Ovis aries: one gene and its partners. The protein of the gene in region 1 purifies or fractionates together with the protein of each later gene. This does not show direct contact. Links are inferred from orthologs where the notes say so. Each region holds a gene or a part of one and is shown in the gene's direction. Other genes may lie near its edges.

The links.
Region 2: the proteins of HSP90B1 (region 1) and ERBB2 purify together in Homo sapiens (affinity purification with western blotting; 3 studies listed by BioGRID and IntAct, with this or other methods). This does not show direct contact. The link is inferred for Ovis aries from reciprocal best matches to the Homo sapiens genes HSP90B1 and ERBB2.
Region 3: the proteins of HSP90B1 (region 1) and CALR fractionate together in Homo sapiens (co-fractionation; 4 studies listed by BioGRID, with this or other methods). This does not show direct contact. The link is inferred for Ovis aries from reciprocal best matches to the Homo sapiens genes HSP90B1 and CALR.
Region 4: the proteins of HSP90B1 (region 1) and CANX purify together in Homo sapiens (affinity purification with mass spectrometry; 4 studies listed by BioGRID and IntAct, with this or other methods). This does not show direct contact. The link is inferred for Ovis aries from reciprocal best matches to the Homo sapiens genes HSP90B1 and CANX.
Region 5: the proteins of HSP90B1 (region 1) and OS9 purify together in Homo sapiens (affinity purification with mass spectrometry; 6 studies listed by BioGRID and IntAct, with this or other methods). This does not show direct contact. The link is inferred for Ovis aries from reciprocal best matches to the Homo sapiens genes HSP90B1 and OS9.

Annotation. Positions count from the first base shown.
Region 1 is NC_056056.1:173,212,589-173,216,102, forward strand, and holds part of HSP90B1 (endoplasmin), read left to right. Parts: intron 1-2,832; coding exon 2,833-2,944; intron 2,945-3,171; coding exon 3,172-3,291; intron 3,292-3,514.
Region 2 is NC_056064.1:39,836,570-39,840,083, forward strand, and holds part of ERBB2 (receptor tyrosine-protein kinase erbB-2), read left to right. Parts: coding exon 1-63; intron 64-324; coding exon 325-510; intron 511-628; coding exon 629-784; intron 785-876; coding exon 877-952; intron 953-1,258; coding exon 1,259-1,405; intron 1,406-1,732; coding exon 1,733-1,830; intron 1,831-2,028; coding exon 2,029-2,217; intron 2,218-2,498; coding exon 2,499-2,751; intron 2,752-2,880; coding exon 2,881-3,236; 3' UTR 3,237-3,514. UniProt on the Homo sapiens protein: Protein tyrosine kinase that is part of several cell surface receptor complexes, but that apparently needs a coreceptor for ligand binding. Essential component of a neuregulin-receptor complex, although neuregulins do not interact with it alone.
Region 3 is NC_056058.1:10,923,580-10,927,676, reverse strand, and holds the start of CALR (calreticulin), read left to right. Parts: upstream 1-1,286; 5' UTR 1,287-1,357; coding exon 1,358-1,448; intron 1,449-1,816; coding exon 1,817-1,918; intron 1,919-2,078; coding exon 2,079-2,282; intron 2,283-2,735; coding exon 2,736-2,830; intron 2,831-2,920; coding exon 2,921-3,130; intron 3,131-3,212; coding exon 3,213-3,326; intron 3,327-3,406; coding exon 3,407-3,550; intron 3,551-4,097. UniProt on the Homo sapiens protein: Calcium-binding chaperone that promotes folding, oligomeric assembly and quality control in the endoplasmic reticulum (ER) via the calreticulin/calnexin cycle.
Region 4 is NC_056058.1:1,394,373-1,397,886, reverse strand, and holds part of CANX (calnexin), read left to right. Parts: intron 1-3,094; 5' UTR 3,095-3,097; coding exon 3,098-3,271; intron 3,272-3,514. UniProt on the Homo sapiens protein: Calcium-binding protein that interacts with newly synthesized monoglucosylated glycoproteins in the endoplasmic reticulum. It may act in assisting protein assembly and/or in the retention within the ER of unassembled protein subunits.
Region 5 is NC_056056.1:161,965,335-161,969,304, reverse strand, and holds the start of OS9 (protein OS-9), read left to right. Parts: upstream 1-1,166; 5' UTR 1,167-1,182; coding exon 1,183-1,344; intron 1,345-1,766; coding exon 1,767-1,943; intron 1,944-2,820; coding exon 2,821-2,884; intron 2,885-3,014; coding exon 3,015-3,100; intron 3,101-3,275; coding exon 3,276-3,374; intron 3,375-3,970. UniProt on the Homo sapiens protein: Lectin component of the HRD1 complex, which functions in endoplasmic reticulum (ER) quality control and ER-associated degradation (ERAD).

The DNA of each region.
Region 1 (3,514 bases):
TACAGTGGAGAGTAAGACAGTGGCTGTTCCTCCTTTCACATGGCTCATTCAACTAAGAAAACACATGAAATAATTTCAGAATGGCAAATGCCAGAAAGGAAGCTAAGGGACAACCCCCTTATCAGAAGGTCTTTCTGAAATGGTTTTGAGTTAGGGTCAGACGTTCTAGGCAGCAAGCACTGCACATTGGACAGTTTCAGAGGCACATTTGAGAAACTGAAGGTCTAGAATGGCCAAAGGGAAAAGAGCAAAGGCAAAGAAGTAGCAAGGTCAAGATCTTGCCCTACCTACATGTTACTTCATCTTAATATTGGACCAGTAAAGTAGAGGCTGTCAGACAATTGTTTCCTCCCTACTCCTGTTCTTACCCTTAATGAGCCACCACTTAGGGGACATTTAGTGAAGCATAAATGAGATCATGAAATCAGCATCTTGTAAATGCTAACATAAAATGGCTTCTGCCCCTCCTCCTATCATGAAGGGCGTATTCTACATTTCTCCCTTACGCTAGTCACTGCTTCTCATCTGTTGTCTCTCACACCATCTCCTCAGAGATGAGAGAATTAATTACTAGTGCATCTTTTAAAGTCAGCCTTTGCTGAACACCTTCCTCTTTGCATCAAAGTGTAAATGTATTGAAGTCTCTCTAGGAGAAGGAGGGGGCAGGCAGGTGATGCACCGTGCTGCTGTCAGGCACGTGCTCTCCCATTTTCTTTCCTGCTGTTGGGTGTTTCGAAAAAGCATACTTGCCTTTGCTGCTACTTCACCTTCTATTCCCCCCTCAGCCCATGGTATTTTGACTTTATCCACCACTTTTCCATGGAAATAAATTACCAATATTCCTTGTTGCTAAATCCAGTGGATTCATGCTTATTTTAGTTGCTGTGATCCCCAGCAATAGCTTCTCTTTCTCTCTCTTGTTTTTTTTTTTTTTTTGGAGTTTTTCTTTTGTGTTTTCTACAGAATTTGCATTTTACTGCTCACTCCTTAAGACAATCCACTCAGTACCCAGCATCATTTTTTTTAAATTTCCTTTGCCTGTTTCTTACATGTTGATGGTCTCTTTTCTTCAGAAGTGCAGTTTTAGCCCTCTATGTCCTGTGTCCATCATGCAGTCTTAACCACTGTTGTGGATTCAGACTCTGGCTCCTTCTCGGGCTTCTCTAATCTATATTTTTAGCCAAGATCAGGAGTCAGCAGACTTTTAATGAAAGGGTCAGCTAGTAAATATTTTCAGCTCATGAACATGTCAGAACTCTCCTATCTATAGTTTGAAAGCAGTCATAGAGTATATGATGAGGTTGTGTCCTGATGAAATTTCTTGTGAGTGGCAACCAGAGTTTGCCAGCCCCTGGTCTAGATCTTGCTACTGGGTTCTAGGCTTATATGTCTAATTACCTTTTGAATACCTGACTAAGATGTCTAATCATCAGCTTCAATTCGCATCTAAAACTGATACAACTTGGTGCCAACCTAGGCTCACTAGGTATGTATACTCCAAGACCCGAGGTTTAGTCCCCTCACTAGGCTGTGTCATCACGTACTGTGTACTTGCTGGAAACTCCTATACGCTTTTTGAGGCAAGGAGGGGACCATGGATTCTCCTTTTTTTTTTTTTTTTATTCTCTATTTTTATTGGGAGCACAAATATCAAGATATGGGCTACCCACTTGTTTGAGAGTATGATGTGGCTGTTATTTTTGGTGGGTGGAGGAGATGTTTGCAGAAAGGGTGGTAAGGAAGAAGAGGAAGCAGTGCTGCAGTTTTCAGTACTATAATTATAATCTCAGTCAGTGCTGTTCCTGATAGAACTGTCTGTGGTAGACATGGTCATTCACTACTCTGTCCAGTATGGCAGCTACTTGCCACATGTGACTGTTGACTTGGAATGTGGCGATTTAACTAAAGAACTAACTTTAACTGTTATGACTATAACTGACTATAACTGACTTTTAACTATTAACAAATAATCACATGTAACAGGTGGGTGGCTCCTGTTTTGTCTAGTGCAAATAAACAGTAGTTCAGATTAATGTTCTAGCTATTATTTTAAAATAAATTCATTTATTTATTTTTGACTATGTTGGGTCTTTGTTGCTGCGCAGGCTTTTCTGTAGTTGCGGTGAACAGGGTCTACTAGTCATGGTGCATGGGCTTCTCATTGCTGTGGCTTCTCTTGTTGTAGAACATGGGCTCTAGGGCACGTGGGCTCAGTAGTTGCAGCGCCCAGGCTCTGGAGCACCGGATCAATAGTAGTGATGTACAGGCTTAGTTGTTCCACGGCATGTGGGATCTTCCTGGATCAGGGATCAAAACCATGACTGTTGCGTTGGCATGTGAGTTCTTTACTGCGGAGCCATCAGAGATGCCCTCTAGCTTTTTCTTAAGGAATGTGTTTTTATTAGGGGTTAACTGTCTACAGTATGTAATCAGTTGATTTTCTAGGGAAGCTAGTAGAATGTGTATGATTCTACTTTTCTCCAGAATATTGCAGCAACTTCCCACCTTCAGCTAGCTTAAGATTTCTGTTCTTCAAATGAAAAAAAATCCAGCACATTGAGGAGGTTGGAAACCTTTTCATTTTTTGCTTATAATGAAGAATGTTTTCCACATGAGGGAGGGAGTGCAAAAAAGATTCTTCCTTTTACTATACCCATATTTAGTATATTTAGCTCACAAACCTTTATTGGTGATAAGAGTTCTTAACATGAATAATGGGGACTTTGTGGGTTATGCACAGTTGGCTATTATAGTCAAATGAATATTTACACAAATTTATAATCAGAACTTTTAAATAATGACGTGTCTCTAAATGTCTTATTTTCCTTGCAGCCTTGTTTTAAAAGAAGAAGCATCTGATTACCTTGAATTGGATACAATTAAAAACCTCGTGAAAAAATATTCACAGTTCATAAACTTTCCTATTTATGTATGGAGCAGCAAGGTAAATTTATATGAGTAAAGTTTATATATCTATATTACCTTGGACATATTTAACTATTTAACACAGAAAGAATGAAGATTAAATGTGGTTCTTCTAATGCAGGATACTCAGTATTTTCTTACTGAAGACTATTTTTTTGAGCTGTAATTTTGTTTCATATCCTATAGAATAAAATCAAGAATTATGAAACATTAGCTTAACCATCATTCTATTTTCTACATAAACAGACTGAAACGGTTGAGGAACCTGCCGAAGAAGAAGAAGCAGGAAAAGAAGATAAAGAAGAATCTGATGATGAAGCTGCCGTAGAAGAAGAAGAAGACGAAAAGAAACCAAAAACTAAAAAAGTAAGCCTGGTTCATCCTCCTACTTAAAATATTGTTTAGGTTATAAGGTACCCGATTCCTAGGAAAAGGGGTAAGATTTCTTGTTGCAGGAGAGGGGTTTGGGTTCAAGGAAGGTGGCCAAAAGATACAGACTTCCAGTTATAAATGAGCGCTAGGGATGTAAGATAGTGTGATGGAGCCAACACTGGTCTGTGATGTATGGAAAAGCTGTCAAGAGTCTTAA
Region 2 (3,514 bases), on another chromosome or scaffold:
CCCGTGGCCATCAAGGTGTTGAGGGAAAACACATCTCCCAAAGCCAACAAGGAAATCTTGGACGTAAGCCCTTCCACCCTGTCCAGCTGGGGGTATGGGGGACTGGGCTCTCTCTCTCTTCACTGGGGTTTTGGGGGACACCCTGTGATTCCCCCAAATGTCTACTCTTACCCTCCCTAGTCTGTGGGCCATGGTTCCGATTTGTGATGAATGGGATTGGGTTGGCGGAGGGCCCGTTATCATGGCTTAGCCCTTGGGAGGGGTGTGTGGTGGTTGGGGGTTAGTGGTTTCCCATACCCTCTCAGTGTGTGCCCTTGTTTCCAGGAAGCATATGTGATGGCTGGTGTAGGCTCCCCATATGTGTCCCGCCTCCTGGGCATCTGCCTGACATCCACAGTGCAGCTGGTGACACAGCTTATGCCCTATGGCTGCCTCCTCGACCACGTCCGAGAACACCGTGGGCGCCTGGGCTCCCAGGACCTGCTGAACTGGTGTGTGCAGATTGCCAAGGTATGCACTTTGGGGGCCAGGGCTCTGCAGGTGCCCTTGGGGAGCAAGCCTCTGGATAGGGAGGTTTCCTGGGAGAGTTTTGGCAGAGCGAGGTCCACACTGATGCCTCTGACCCCAGGGGATGAGCTACTTGGAGGATGTGCGGCTCGTGCATAGGGACCTGGCTGCCCGGAACGTGCTGGTCAAGAGTCCCAACCATGTGAAGATTACAGACTTCGGGCTAGCGCGACTGCTAGACATTGACGAGACAGAGTACCACGCAGATGGGGGCAAGGTTAGAGGAGCAAACCGAAACAAGGGGGAGTGGGGTCTGGCCCCTGGGAGAACTCAGACCTGGTTGGAGGACTTCCTTCTCTGCTCTACCAGGTGCCCATCAAGTGGATGGCATTGGAGTCCATTCTCCGCCGGCGGTTCACCCACCAGAGTGACGTGTGGAGCTATGGTGTGTGATGGAGTGGGTAGGGAGGGTGGACAAGGAGCCATGGCCCTGGGGAGAATGTGGGTGGAAGGATGGGGTGAACTGATAGACACCTTTGGTATAAATGTGAGAAGGAAGGAAGTGGCTGCCAGTGCCTCAGGCTGCCAGAGTGTGTGTGCTTCCCAGGGACTGGGAAAAGACCAAGTTATCTCCTGTCCTTTGGCATTGCATCTTTCCTCCTTCCCCCATGGTGCCAGGCTCTTCGGCAGAGCCTCTGAGGCTCCGTACACTAAAGCTGCCTCTGGTCCTCCCACCCCATCTATGCCCCAGGTGTGACTGTGTGGGAGCTGATGACTTTTGGGGCCAAACCTTATGATGGGATCCCAGCCCGGGAGATTCCTGACCTGCTGGAGAAGGGAGAACGGCTGCCCCAGCCCCCCATCTGCACCATTGATGTCTACATGATCATGGTCAAATGTACGTTCTTGAGCTGTGTTGGCTGCTTGGAGGAGGGGTGGGTGGTCCTGGGCGGATGGGCCTACAAGGGGCATGGGCCAAGAGCATGGTGATAAGGTTAATGGGTCTCAGAAGGCTCTCCCTGCCCTTTTACAGTACCAGTCCAGAGGAGCTAGCGAGGGCCAGCTAGGAAAAAAGACTGATCCAAAGTAAAAAGGAGAAACTGGTAGATTCTCCATCATCAGAGGGCTTTGGACTCTAGTGTTGTCTAGACTGGGCGTGAGGGTGAGGGGCGCTGCATGCAGGCTGCAGCCAGAACTGAGATGCCAGGCTCTTGCCCACCCCCAGGTTGGATGATTGACTCTGAATGTCGGCCGAGGTTCCGGGAGTTAGTGACTGAATTCTCCCGCATGGCCAGGGACCCCCAGCGCTTTGTGGTCATCCAGGTACTGAACCTTTCACCCCATCCCTGCCTATGGCTAAGAGCACTCTCCCTTAGAAGGGAGGAAAGGAAGAATGATTCCTGGGTCCCAGGCTTCCAAGCTCCTGCCTGACTCATCAGACTTCTAGCCCTCCCTGAGCCACCCCTAGGAGGCTGCGTACTGGGCTGGGGAGAGGCTGCCATGCGTCTCCCTCCTCCCCAGAATGAAGACTTGGGCCCTGCTAGCCCCCTGGATAGCACCTTCTACCGCTCGCTGCTGGAGGATGACGACATGGGAGACCTGGTGGATGCGGAGGAGTACCTGGTACCCCAGCAGGGCTTCTTCTGCCCAGACCCTGCCCCAGGAGCTGGAGGCACGGCCCACCGCAGGCACCGCAGCACATCCACCAGGGTTAGTGCTCCCATCGCATGGGGTGGGTGTCGTTGGTTACCTCCCGACTCCAGCGGACCAGGGTTCCTTCCTCCGATGTCCTCCAGCTGTTACCTCTCATGAAGGAGGCCCCATTTTCCCTAAGAAGGATTCTTACTGCTTTCCAACCGTGATCCCATTCTTTCTACCATGCCTCTGTCATACATCAGAGATGATTTATCTCCTGGGACTCTGTCACTTCCCATGGAACCTCCATCTCAGATCCATGAATGACCTCCCTTTTGACCTTCTCTTGTCCTCAGAGTGGTGGTGGTGAGCTGACACTGGGGCTGGAGCCCTCTGAGGAGGAGCCCCCCAGATCTCCGCTGGCACCTTCCGAAGGGGCAGGCTCTGATGTGTTTGATGGCGACTTGGGAATGGGGGCGGCCAAGGGGCTGCAGTCCCTCCCCCAACACGACTCTAGCCCTCTACAGCGGTACAGCGAGGACCCCACAGTACCCCTTTCTCCCGAGGCTGATGGCTACGTTGCCCCCTCGACCTGCAGCCCCCAGCCCGGTATGAAGTCAGGCTTGAGCTGAGAGGTGGGGATTGGGGGTGCTCTGCCCAGGGCCTGCTGCAGGGCAGTTGTAGCAGCTGGGACACACAGATTTCACCCTCTTACGATTCCTTCTCCTGTCCTTTCAGAATACGTGAACCAGCCAGAGGTTCGCCCACAGCCCCCGTCACCCCTAGAGGGTCCTCTGCCGCCTCCTCGACCTGCAGGTTCCACTCTGGAAAGGCCCAAGACGCTCTCCCCTGGGAAGAATGGGGTTGTCAAAGACGTTTTTGCCTTTGGGGCTGCCGTGGAGAACCCCGAGTACTTGGCACCCCGGGGCAGGGCCGCCCCTCAGTCCCACCCTTCTCCAGCCTTCAGCCCAGCCTTTGACAACCTCTACTACTGGGACCAGGACCCATCAGAGCGGGGCACTCCATCCAGCTCCTTTGAAGGGACCCCTACGGCAGAGAACCCTGAGTACCTGGGCCTGGACATGCCAGTATGAGCCAAAAGGCCAGGGCCACTGAGGCCCTGCTGAACCCTCAGGGCATGTGGAAGGCCTGACTTCTGGCCCACGTCGGCACCAGGCAGGGAGCAGGCCCTTGGATCACGTCCAGGGGAGCCTGCCATGCCAGAAATCTCCTTTCCTACTTCAACTCCTAGGTGGCTGAGAGCGGCCCAGCCTGACTTCTTCCAGACCCTTGGCACTGAACGACTTAGGGAGGCTGGGCCGAGTGCGAAGAAGGCCCCAAGGGGGTGTCTAGGAACTACAGCAACCCATTC
Region 3 (4,097 bases), on another chromosome or scaffold:
CCCGCCTTCGCCAGTTTATTCCTACTTCCCAAGTCCAGAGCCTATTTGCTCAGTTTGGGAAAGTCCCCGTTCTCCTTCCTCCTTCCTGCAGCCTAGGGGTATGGGGCTGGTGTCAGTCACTGCCAGTCATGTGCCTGTGGCCTCAGAAGGCTCTAGTCTCAGGGGTCCTGCCCACCTCTCTTGGACCTTATCTTCCTCACCATCTGCCTCTTTTTTTTTCTCCTCCCCAACGGAACCCCCTGCCCGCTCATATTCAGCCGTTTAATTGCAAAACCAGGCCGTTTGCGGGAGACCACAAGGCGGCGACCCCTTTCATTTACCGGCTGGGGGGCGGGGATGGGAGGGAGGTAAAGGACAGGCTGCAAAGAGAGGAACACAACCTGTCGTCACATCTTTTGAGCCGTCAGGGTCCTTCCCTCTGTCCCAGAAAATCCCTAAAAGCTTGAAAAGCATTTCCGCCGGACAGCAGCTGGCCGGGGTCGCTCCTCCTGGCCTTTCAAGAGATCCTGTGATTTCAAAGAGGCTGAATGACTTGCCCCAGCTCACACAGAAGCAGTCTGACAGGCTGCCAGGTCACTACGGGGACCGTACTGAGAACAGGCACTCTTCCCCCAGGCCTGCAGGGCTCCGGCGCTGGGAGGAAGTGAAGCCCCAGGGCTCGGTGCCCTCTGCCCCATCCCGGGGGAGGGAGGTGTGGGAGGGAGAAGGCGGGGTTGGGGAGGAAGGCGGGGGGGGGGGGGGGGGGGGGGGGCAGGGAGGCGGGTGGAGGACGGGAAGAGGAGTGGGAAGGAAGAGAAAGACAAGGTGGGAATGGTGGGGTTCCCCAAACTCAGAGTAGAAAGACGCTAGGAAAACCTTGCCCACTCAACCCTTGAGTGGAGTCTAGAATGGAGCCGGACCCTAGCTTCACGCAGCACCACAGCTCGCGCGTGTTCTTTAAACGCCTAGATCCCGAACGCCGCGCGCAAGGGAGGGCGGGGCTGGGCCGAGGTCTGGTCACATGACCTGGACTGAGGGGCTCGAGGCCCCCCCGACTTCACCGGTGGGCGTCCCCCACAACGCGTGGTCGACCTTCATTGGCCAGTGGTGCGGCCAATAGAAATCGGCCATCTGGGAACCCAGCGTTCCGAGGCACAGCCTAACATGCTGAGCCTAGAAGGGTCCAATGGAAAGGCAGGGCTATGGCCACAGACCAATGATAAAGTGAGGAAGGCGGACCAAGAGGCCGGACCAGGCTGGTTTGAGAGCAGGCGGGGTATAAAAGGGCACGGCCGGCGGCGGCGTCCGTCCCCACTGCAGAGCTGCTGCCGGACGAGTGACTTAAAGGGCCCGCGCGCCACCGCCCCCTCGGCCCGCCATGCTGCTACCCGTGCCGCTGCTGCTCGGCCTTCTCGGCCTGGCCGCCGCTGATCCCACCGTTTACTTCAAGGAGCAGTTTCTGGACGGAGGTAACGGCTAGTCCCGCTCGAGATCGTCCTAACGACGCGGCTGGCCCTCCGGCCCATATCTGCGTGTCGCTTGTAATTACTGCTCAGAGGGCCAACACGGTTTCCTTCAGGGACTGGAGCCGAAGGCGAGCCTTCCTTCGGCGTCCCTGGGGAGCGTGGAGGGAGCAGCGGCTTTCCGAAGCGGGAGTTAGGGTTTGCCCGAGGATCTTTTAAGTCACCAGAGATGTCAAACTAGAGGTTGGGGTGGGGACGGTCTGGGGGGAGGGGGGAATCTCCTTCCTTGCTCCCAGCAGTTTGTGGCTCCTGGTAGATGTTTGGTGGGGAGTTGATCAGCACCGCCGCGCTTACCTGCCTCTTTGATCCTCTAGACGGGTGGACCGAGCGCTGGATCGAATCCAAACACAAACCGGATTTTGGCAAATTCGTTCTCAGTTCCGGCAAGTTCTATGGTGACCAGGAGAAAGATAAAGGTAAGAACTTAGGAGTGGGTATTCAGATCCAGGAGGACAGAGTTTGGGTATCCCTAGAAGTAGGGGAGGTGAAGGAAGGAGGACTGGTGTGTATTTTACATCCTTAGGGTTCCCCGGGGGGTTGGTGCTGAGCCCTGATCTGATTATAGTCTCTCGGTAGGCCTGCAGACTAGCCAGGATGCCCGGTTCTACGCACTGTCGGCGAGATTTGAGCCTTTCAGCAACAAGGGTCAGACGCTGGTGGTGCAGTTCACGGTGAAACACGAGCAGAACATCGACTGTGGGGGCGGCTATGTGAAGCTGTTTCCAGCTGGTTTGGATCAGACAGACATGCACGGGGACTCCGAATACAACATCATGTTTGGTAAGGGGACTCCACCCTGGTGCTGATTTCTGGTCACTTAGAGGGAGTTTGAAACCCGGGGAGTTCTTTATCGCCCATGAACGGTGGTCTTGAGAGCATAGAAAACACTTACATGCTTTAGGCATTTCTTTCATAGGGAAGGTGAGGGAATAGTTAGGAACCACTTACTGCATTTTTATCATCGACTTCACACTAATTCGTGCAGTTTTACTATATAGGCATTTCCTTGTTCCTAGTTGTGCAAGTGAAGATTGTGAGTTCTGGAGTACTGATGTGTGGTTTGTTTTTTTTTAAGTGTCCTCCCCCAGTTCCTTAGAGAGAAGGTCTGAATTTTGTTTTTTCAGCTTGACAGTCCTGAGTTTAAGAACCAAGTTGTCTTTTTGTAATGGGGTGGGCAGGGGCTTGTAATGGTGGACAGACTGTAGTTCTGACCAAGATCTGCTTCTCACCAAGGCCCAGACATCTGTGGACCCGGCACCAAGAAGGTTCATGTCATCTTCAACTACAAGGGCAAGAATGTGCTGATCAACAAGGATATTCGCTGCAAGGTGTGCCTTGGGGGTGGTCACAAATGGCTGTGAGGGGAGGCTTTGAGCCCAGGCTGGTGGGCGGGGCCACTCATCTTTCATTCTCTTTAGGACGATGAATTCACCCACCTGTACACGCTGATTGTGCGGCCTGATAATACGTATGAGGTGAAGATTGATAACAGCCAGGTGGAGTCAGGCTCCTTGGAGGACGACTGGGATTTCTTGCCCCCCAAGAAGATAAAGGATCCTGATGCCGCTAAGCCTGAAGACTGGGATGATCGTGCCAAGATCGATGACCCCACAGACTCCAAGCCTGAGGTTGGTGCTTGGGCAGGGGCTCCCCACCATGGAGCGTGTGGAGGACAGCTGCTCCTATTCTGACCTCCTAATGTATCCTCAGGATTGGGACAAGCCTGAGCACATTCCTGACCCTGATGCTAAGAAACCTGAGGACTGGGATGAAGAGATGGACGGAGAGTGGGAACCACCTGTTATTCAGAACCCAGAGTACAAGGTGAGTCTGGCACTCTGAGGAGGGTGGTGCACAATGGGGAAGGCAGTGATCTTCGCTCACCCGTCAGTTTACTTCTGCAGGGGGAGTGGAAGCCCAGGCAGATCGACAACCCAGAGTACAAGGGCGTTTGGATCCATCCAGAGATTGACAACCCTGAGTATTCCCCTGATAGCAACATCTACGCCTATGAAAACTTTGCTGTTCTAGGCTTGGATCTTTGGCAGGTGAGACATGGAGGGAAGAGGCGGCTCCCTAGGGGACCTCAGGTGCTCAGGGTCAACCCAGGAGAAAAGGGGACAAGGGCGGGCAGACTCCAAAATGGTGCCCCCCCCCTTTCTTTTAAGAAATTCCTGGTTTGTCATTACGGGGTCTTAACAGCACCTGCTTTGGCTTGTACTTAATATGTTCCAGGTACTATTTTCAAGTATTTTTGTGGGAAGTAACTCAATTGCATCCAGCAGCCTAGAAAGGCAGGTAGATAACCCCATTAGAACTTAGCTTCACAAGGGCCGAATTTTTGTCCTGTTTGTCAATGTACTTTCTGCATCTAGTATGCTGCTTGGCACATAGACTGTACTAGGAAAGATAGTTTGAAGAAGAGAATGAGATCTCATTTTATAGATGAAGATACTGAGGTGCAAAGAGATGAAGTCACCAGCTCAAGATCATATATAGTAAATGGCAGAGCTGAGGTTTGAATCTAGGCAGCCTATTTTTCAACTGCAATGTTAGACTGTAGTATTGTGTAGTGGTTATGTGAGCATGGGCAGG
Region 4 (3,514 bases), on another chromosome or scaffold:
TTGACTCTCACTTATTGGTTGTGATATTGAGTAAATGATTGGGTTGTTTTCATTTCACTACATCTTAGTAATACCTCAAGGGAGGTTTGCAAAATAATGTAACTGTGAAAGTGCTTTTATAAACTGGAACACAAAGCACAAGTTGATGATTCATAAACCCTAGTCAGTGGTTCTCAGGGTAGCAACCTTTGCATCCCCTGGAACCTGATAGGAAGGAAAAGGCCCAGCACGCACACACTCAATCAGCAGTCTGTTTTAAAAAGCCCCCTGAGGCACGCTCAAGTTAGGAAGAGCTGTCTTGTGACATTATACTCAACCCAAGGAGCATTGTGTTAGTCTGCTTGGACTGCCACAACAGCACCACAGGCCGGGCAGCTTAAACAACAGAAAAGTGTTTTCTTACAGTCTGGAAGTCTGTGATCGAGGCGTTGGCAGAGTTGGCTTCTGATGTGGCCTTCCTCCTCAGCTTGCGGAGGGCCACCATCTTGTGTCCTCGTTGGACTTAACCTCTGTGCATGTGGATTCCTGGTTCTCTTCCTCTTACTATAGACACCAGTTAGGGCCCCAACCTTATGACTGCTTTTAACCTTAATTACTTAAAGGTCCTATCTCTAAATATAGTTATGTTGGGAGTTCAAGTTTCAACATACAAATTTGAGGTAGGAGACACAGTTAAGCCTGTAACAGCGGTATATGTTGTATGTGTGTGTGCGCTCAGTTGCTCACTTGTGACCAAATCTTTTACAACCCCATGGACTGTAGCCTGCCAGGTCCTTCCATAGGATTTCCCAGGCAAGAATACTGGAGTGGGTTACCATTTCCTTCTCCAGCGGATCTTCCCGAAATGTGGGTCTCCTTCATTGGCAGACCAGTTCTTTACCACTGAGCCATCTGCAAGCCCATAACATAACAGCAGTATATCAGTAAATTAAAAGATACAGGGAAAAAAATCAGTCTTCCTGTTCTGCAGCTGTACTCTCCCTCACTGAACCCTACCTGAATCCCATTTTTGAAAGTTAAGTAGTTAGTTCATCTCCCCGATTAGCTTTTCCTTGAGCAGCAGTGTTTTAACATCAGTGCACAGTCCTTATTAATTCACTGGCTTTGTGGTTCACTTAATTGCTACTGGGCTTATCACATTTGCCTTTTTGACTTAACTATTTTGTGGGCTAATTTGATTTATAGAGTATCCCTGGGAACCCAACTGCCATTTATAGCATTATTTCTGTGAGGACTTCTTAGGTTGTATACAGTTGATGTAGATAAAAGGGTTGAATCAGCCTGTTTAGTTTCAGAGAATCCAGTGTAGTTGTAAATCAAAGCGATATTGCTACGCCATTGTAGATTTCGGTGGTAGAGAATAGAAGCCTTAACAGTGAAAAATTGAAATTACTGGCATTTCTTGGTATATAAGAAGCCATAGCAGAATGTTGACATTGAGAGTTTTTAAACTCTAATACCAGTCCTAGGAAAGATGATGAGTGAGTTTTTATTTTTATAAAAATCTTTTATTTCTTTATTTTCTGTGCTGCCTAGGAGTCCAGTGAGCCTTACTTTCTTTCATTTTGTGAAAACAGTACCCACGCTTTATAAATAAAGGAAATGCCGCCAAATGATACATGAAAGTCTAGTTCTATATAATCAATCACTTTAAAGGATTATAGCATTTATAAGGAATTAGGCGTTAAATTCAGCATTAGAATAAGTTGATTTACCAGTGACCAAAAAATTAAGCTATTTTATTTTAATAAAATCTTTTTTATAGCAGTGAAAATACTTGTAAGATTTACCATCTTAACCATCAAGTTCAGTGGCATTGAGTATGTTCATATTGTTGTACAGCTTTCACCTCCATCCGTCTCGAGAACTCTTCATCTTGCAGAATTAAAATTCTGTACAACCTACTGCCGAATCATTTTGTGCATCCGTGTGGCTCAGTTTTTGTATCTTTAGATCTGTGGTTTTGGAGAGAGGATTGACTACCATCCATGACAGTCAGATATGATATGTAAGACACTTGAAGGCTTAGAAAAAAGAGATAAAAATAGTTGGTCTATGGTTTAATATATTTTTTTGTTTTTCGGAGAAGGCAATGGCGCCCCACTCCAGTACTCTTGCCTGGAAACTCCCATGGACGGAGGAGCCTGGTGGGCTGCAGTCCATGGGGTGGCACAGAGTCGGACATGACTGAGCGACTTCTCTTTCATTTTTCACTTTCATCCACTGGAGAAGAAAATGGCACCCCACTCCAGTGTTCTTGCCTGGAGAATCCCAGAGACGGCAGAGCCTGGTGGGCTGCCGTCTTTGGGGTTGCACAGAGTCGGACACGACTGAAGTGACTTAGCAGCAGCAGCATGGTTTAATATATTTTTTTGTTGAATCTTAAAACTGATGTATTATTTATTTACTTGGCTTATTGGGTCTTAGTTGCTGACAGGTGGGATCTTTGCATCCTGCGGGGTCTGGTTTTAGTGCAGGACCTTGTTGAGCATGGAGTCTCGAATTGTGGCCTGTTTGCTCTGGGCTTAGTTGCTCTGTTGCATGGAGGATCTTAGTTCCCCAGCCATGGATCAAACTCAAGTCCCCTGCTTTGCACAGGGTTCCCTGGAAGTCCCTTAAAACACTAATTAAAAAACATACCTATTCTTCTTGATCTTTGGACAAAAACAGCAGCATCTAATCTAAATTAAGTCTTTAATGTGAGGCAAGTTAACTCCTCTGTTATTTCATTGTAATGTTTTAACTCGTTTAAACTATTCTGTAAAAGGGGCTTTGTCTATTGTAAAGCTCTTTACAAATGCAAGAAGTTATTTTGAAATTATATCTGAACACCCTAGGTCTGTGTAGCCAACATGATATTCTATATGGGGACAATTGTTTGAGTTATAGTTTGAATTTTTTCTTGAAATTGAATCTTTTAACTAACTGATTTTAGGAAAACCTGTTATTCTGAGTTCACTTTCTTTATCTATAAAATGAAATACAGTAAAGTTCCTTTCAGCTCTGATTTGAAAGCCTTAATTTTAAATAAGGGTTCAAAATTTTTGAAAGGAGGTGATACAATTAACTGTATTTTTTTTTAATAAATACTTAGATCATGGAAGGGAAGTGGTTGCTGTGTATGTTACTGGTCCTTGGAACTGCTCTTGTTCAAGCTCATGATGGACATGACGATGATGTGATTGACATTGAGGATGACCTTGATGACGTCATTGAAGAGGTAGAAGACTCGAAACCGAAGCCAGATGCCAGCAGTCCGCCATCGCCAAAGGTTTGACATGATCTTTGAATCTGTTTGTTTTGCCTCTTGAGATGATCAAAAGATGAAGGTACATTTTGGATCCTTACCAAAGGGAAAGCAAAATTTGCTAAAATACTTATTGCTCTCCCTGTCAACCTTTGTTATATTGTCCCAAAGATAAATTATATGGGTTGAATTTGAGGGCCAGTCATGCAAGTGTGAAAGCAAACCAAGAGAATAGATCCTACTGAGAATATTTTAATTCTTAATTCA
Region 5 (3,970 bases), about 11 Mb from region 1:
TCAAAAAACTGATTGGAAAGCTTGTGTGCCTGCTAGGGCTCGAGGGCTTCCCTGGTGGCTCAGACAGAGAAGAATCTCCCTGCAGTGCAGGATTCTCCGCCACGGACGTAAATGTAGGATTCCCTCATCTTGTTTCTTTAAGAGAACCCTGATGAAAATATCTTTGGGATTTCTCTGTTGGGCGGGACAGAGTCTCCAGATAAGTTTTTCCAAAGATATAGTCATGATCTTGTTTATGTTTGTTTAGGAATCAATTTCTCAGGATTACTTAATCAGTTCCCATTCCTCCATTTGCTTTCTAGCTTCTGAAATGTTGCTGCTGTCTCCTTTCCCTTTGTTCCTAAGTGGTCTGGAAGACAATACCTACGTTTGTCACTCGCAGCTGTCCAGCTCCCAGTTTTCAACTGGAAGTTCCCATTATTTCTTTGTGGGCTTCCCTGGTGGCTCAGGGGTTAAAGTGTCTGCCTGCAATGTGGGAGACCTGGGTTCGATTCCGATCCCTGGGTCGGCAACCCACTCCAGTATTCTTTCCTGGTGAATCCCATGGACGGAGGAGCCTGGTGGGCTACAGCCCATGGGTTCACAGAGTCGGACATGACTATTTTTATTGGAAGACAACTGCAGGATCGTCCAGAAAGGTTTTGACACAAATTACCAGATCACCTAAATATGTATGTAAAATGAAAAGAGGAATGCTACTATACAATAATTGTTTTGTAACAAGTATTAAGTAGCTTTCAAGAGTATTGTGTGCACGCCCCCATCCACCTCAAAGTCCGCTTGGCGGCGGCCAGACACAGTACAAAAAATGACTTAAAAAGCAATCAGAAATGCGTACAACAGCTGGGCTAGAACAGAAAAGAAAAAAACACACACAAAAAACTGCTTAACTGGGCCCGGCGTGTAGACCGCGCCTCCCTGGAACTGGGAGAGGGGAGGAGGGGGTCCGATATCATTGGTGATTGGTTGGCCTCTTCAACCAATCACGCGTAGCGAGTGATTTTGCTAATTGTCATGATACACCTCCTCGTGGGCTTTAGAGCTACGTTGACAAATGGGAATAGGGCACGTGAGAGGGACAGAAAGTTTCGCCAATAAGACCTTGGGGCGTTATGGGCGGGATGAGGCCGCCGCCAGGTTTAGGGCGGAAGGAGTTGTTCTGGATTAGAAGGGGAACGAAAGATGGCGGCGGAAACGCTGCTGTCCAGTCTGTTGGGACTGCTACTTCTGGGGCTCCTGTTACCCGCAAGTCTGACCGGCGGGGTCGGGAGCCTGAACCTGGAGGAGCTGAGTGAGATGCGTTATGGGATCGAGATACTGCCGTTGCCTGTCATGGGAGGCCAGGTGAGGAGGCGTAAAGGGGCAAGGGTCCTGGGCAGAAAGGGAAGGAGAAGGTAGAGGAAAAAGGGCAGCTGTGGAGTTTGTGGCGGAAGCCTAAGGAGAATCGGGAAGAGTAAGCAGCGGTTTTATGAGGATTCCTGAAGATCGTAGTCAAAGACCCATTCCCTTGGGGCCAGGGACTGGGAGGGGTGGGGCTTCCCTCTGTCAACTTCAGGTCCCAGTTCCCTATTGAAACACTCAGACTCCTCCCCTGTGAAAAAGTGGGAGTGCCCTCTCCCCTCACCCGCTGAACACCGCTGGAGGACTTGTGGCTCACTCTGTCTTGACTGGACTCCTCCCCATTATGTGAAGAGGGATCTCGTTGTTCTCCCTGATCCCAAACCTCTGTTTGCCTCCCTGTCCCCCGACCCCCACTTCTTTCCCAGAGCCAAGCTTCGGACGTGGTGATTGTCTCCTCTAAGTACAAGCAGCGCTATGAATGTCGCCTGCCAGCTGGAGCTATTCACTTCCAGCGTGAAAGGGAGGAGGAGGCACCTGCTTACCAAGGGCCTGGGATCCCTGAGTTGTTGAGCCCGATGAAAGATGCTCCCTGCCTGCTGAAGGTGAAAGGAACTGGGATAGAGGGAAGGAGGGCATGGAAACTAGTTATCTATTTGGGAACTTGTTATCTATTCACAGTGTGTCTGTGAATGAGGAGTGATCAGAGTATCTGTAGGTGTTAAGAAGGCCATTGAAGGAGCAGGCATATTGTACAGACAGGAAAAAAGCAAAGAATCCTGTAACCAATGATGATACTTTGCTGATTATAGAGGAGTGTTAGGATAGAAAATCTCAGAATAAAGATTAAGCTAATATTGAGGTGCTTAAAGGGGTCAGGCTGAGGCAGTAGGGGTACTCCCTTAGAGAAACTTTCCTGGTTAAGTCACCCCTTTCCCTGTCACTCTCTGCCCAGTGTCCTGTTTTATTTTCATCATGGCAACTTTTCATGACCTGAAATTATTAACTGAATTATCAGTTTGTTTATTTTTGGTCTGAATCCTAGTACTAGAATGTAAGTCTGTGAAATCAGAGAATTTATCTTGTTCACAGCTGTATCCACAGTAACTAAAACAGTACAAGGAAGATCAATTAATACTTTGATATTCCATGTTTCCCTCGTCTGAGTGCTTCAAGGATATCATGATTTCTTATCTTTATGGACAACAAAGAAGGATTAAAAAAAAATTGACAAATAAAAAAAAATTTTTTTTTTAATATTTAGAAAGAGGAGAGTAGTAAACCAACTAGGCTGTAGAAGTCTCTCTCCAAGTTACAGAAGACAAAGAGCCCTCCTCACCAAGAATCTGGAGGATTAAGAATAAGGAGGAGATGAGAAGTAAATCAGTGGTTATGTGTTTTGAGGCCAGGAGAGATTTTGGTTTCCAAGAAGAGATGTCTGCATTCCATCCCCCTGACAGTTCTTTTTTCTTTTATTGTCAGACCAAGGACTGGTGGACATATGAATTCTGTTATGGACGCCACATCCAGCAGTACCATATGGAAGGTGAGTTCCACCTATGTTTTCCCTAAGCCCTCAGAAACCTGTCATGGAAGGTGACCTGCCTCCCCAGTTCCCTTCCCTCCCAGTCCTCTGAGAACAGGGTAACAGTGCTTCACTGTGCTCTCTCTTGCAGATTCAGAGATCAAAGGTGAAGTCCTCTATCTTGGCTACTACCAATCCGCCTTCGACTGGGATGATGAAACAGCAAAGGTGGCAGGGGTGCGGGACTGGGAGAGGAAGGGGTCTGGGCTGCAGACTGAGAGCTCTGTCGAGAAGGGGAGGGGCAGGATTAACTGGCGTGCTTCTCTGGGCTTCGTCTTAGGAGCGAGTGCTCCTTTTCTTCCTCCTTGCTGTCTTTCTCAAACCCCTGCCTCATGCCTGATGTCCTCCCCAGGCCTCCAAGCAGCATCGCCTGAAACGCTACCACAGCCAGACCTATGGCAATGGGTCCAAGTGTGACCTCAATGGGAGGCCCCGGGAGGCTGAAGTTCGGGTGAGTCTTGGGAGAGGGACGTTGACAGTCTGACAGTGACAACTCAGAGTCTAAGGGAAGAGCGCAGGGTTGTGTGGTATAGTCAAGAGTGTCTACCAGGCCCTAGACCCTAAGTGTAAGACTCGTATTTCCAGCTTTGCGTCACTGCCTCAATTTTCACAGGCACTTCTATTTTTTTTTAATTGGTGTATAATTGCTTTACAATGTTGTATTAGGTTCTGCTCTACAACAACGTGAAACAGCTATATGTGTACATATATGCTCCCACTCTTGAGCCTCCTCTGTCCCCGCCCCCACGCCCCACTCCTCTAGATGAGCGCATAGCCCCGAGCTGCGCTCCCTGCGCTGTACAGGAGCTTCCTGCCAGCTGCCTGCTTTACACATGGCAGTGCATACATGTCAGTGCTGCTCGGTTAATCCATCCCACCTACTCCTTACCCCACTGTGCCCAGAAGTCCATTCTCTGTGTCTGCATCTCTATTCCTGCCCTGCAGATAGGTTCATCAGTACCATTTCATAGATTCTGTATATACACATTAATATATGGTATTTGTTTTTCTCTTTCTGACTTCATTCTATATAACAGAATCTAGGTT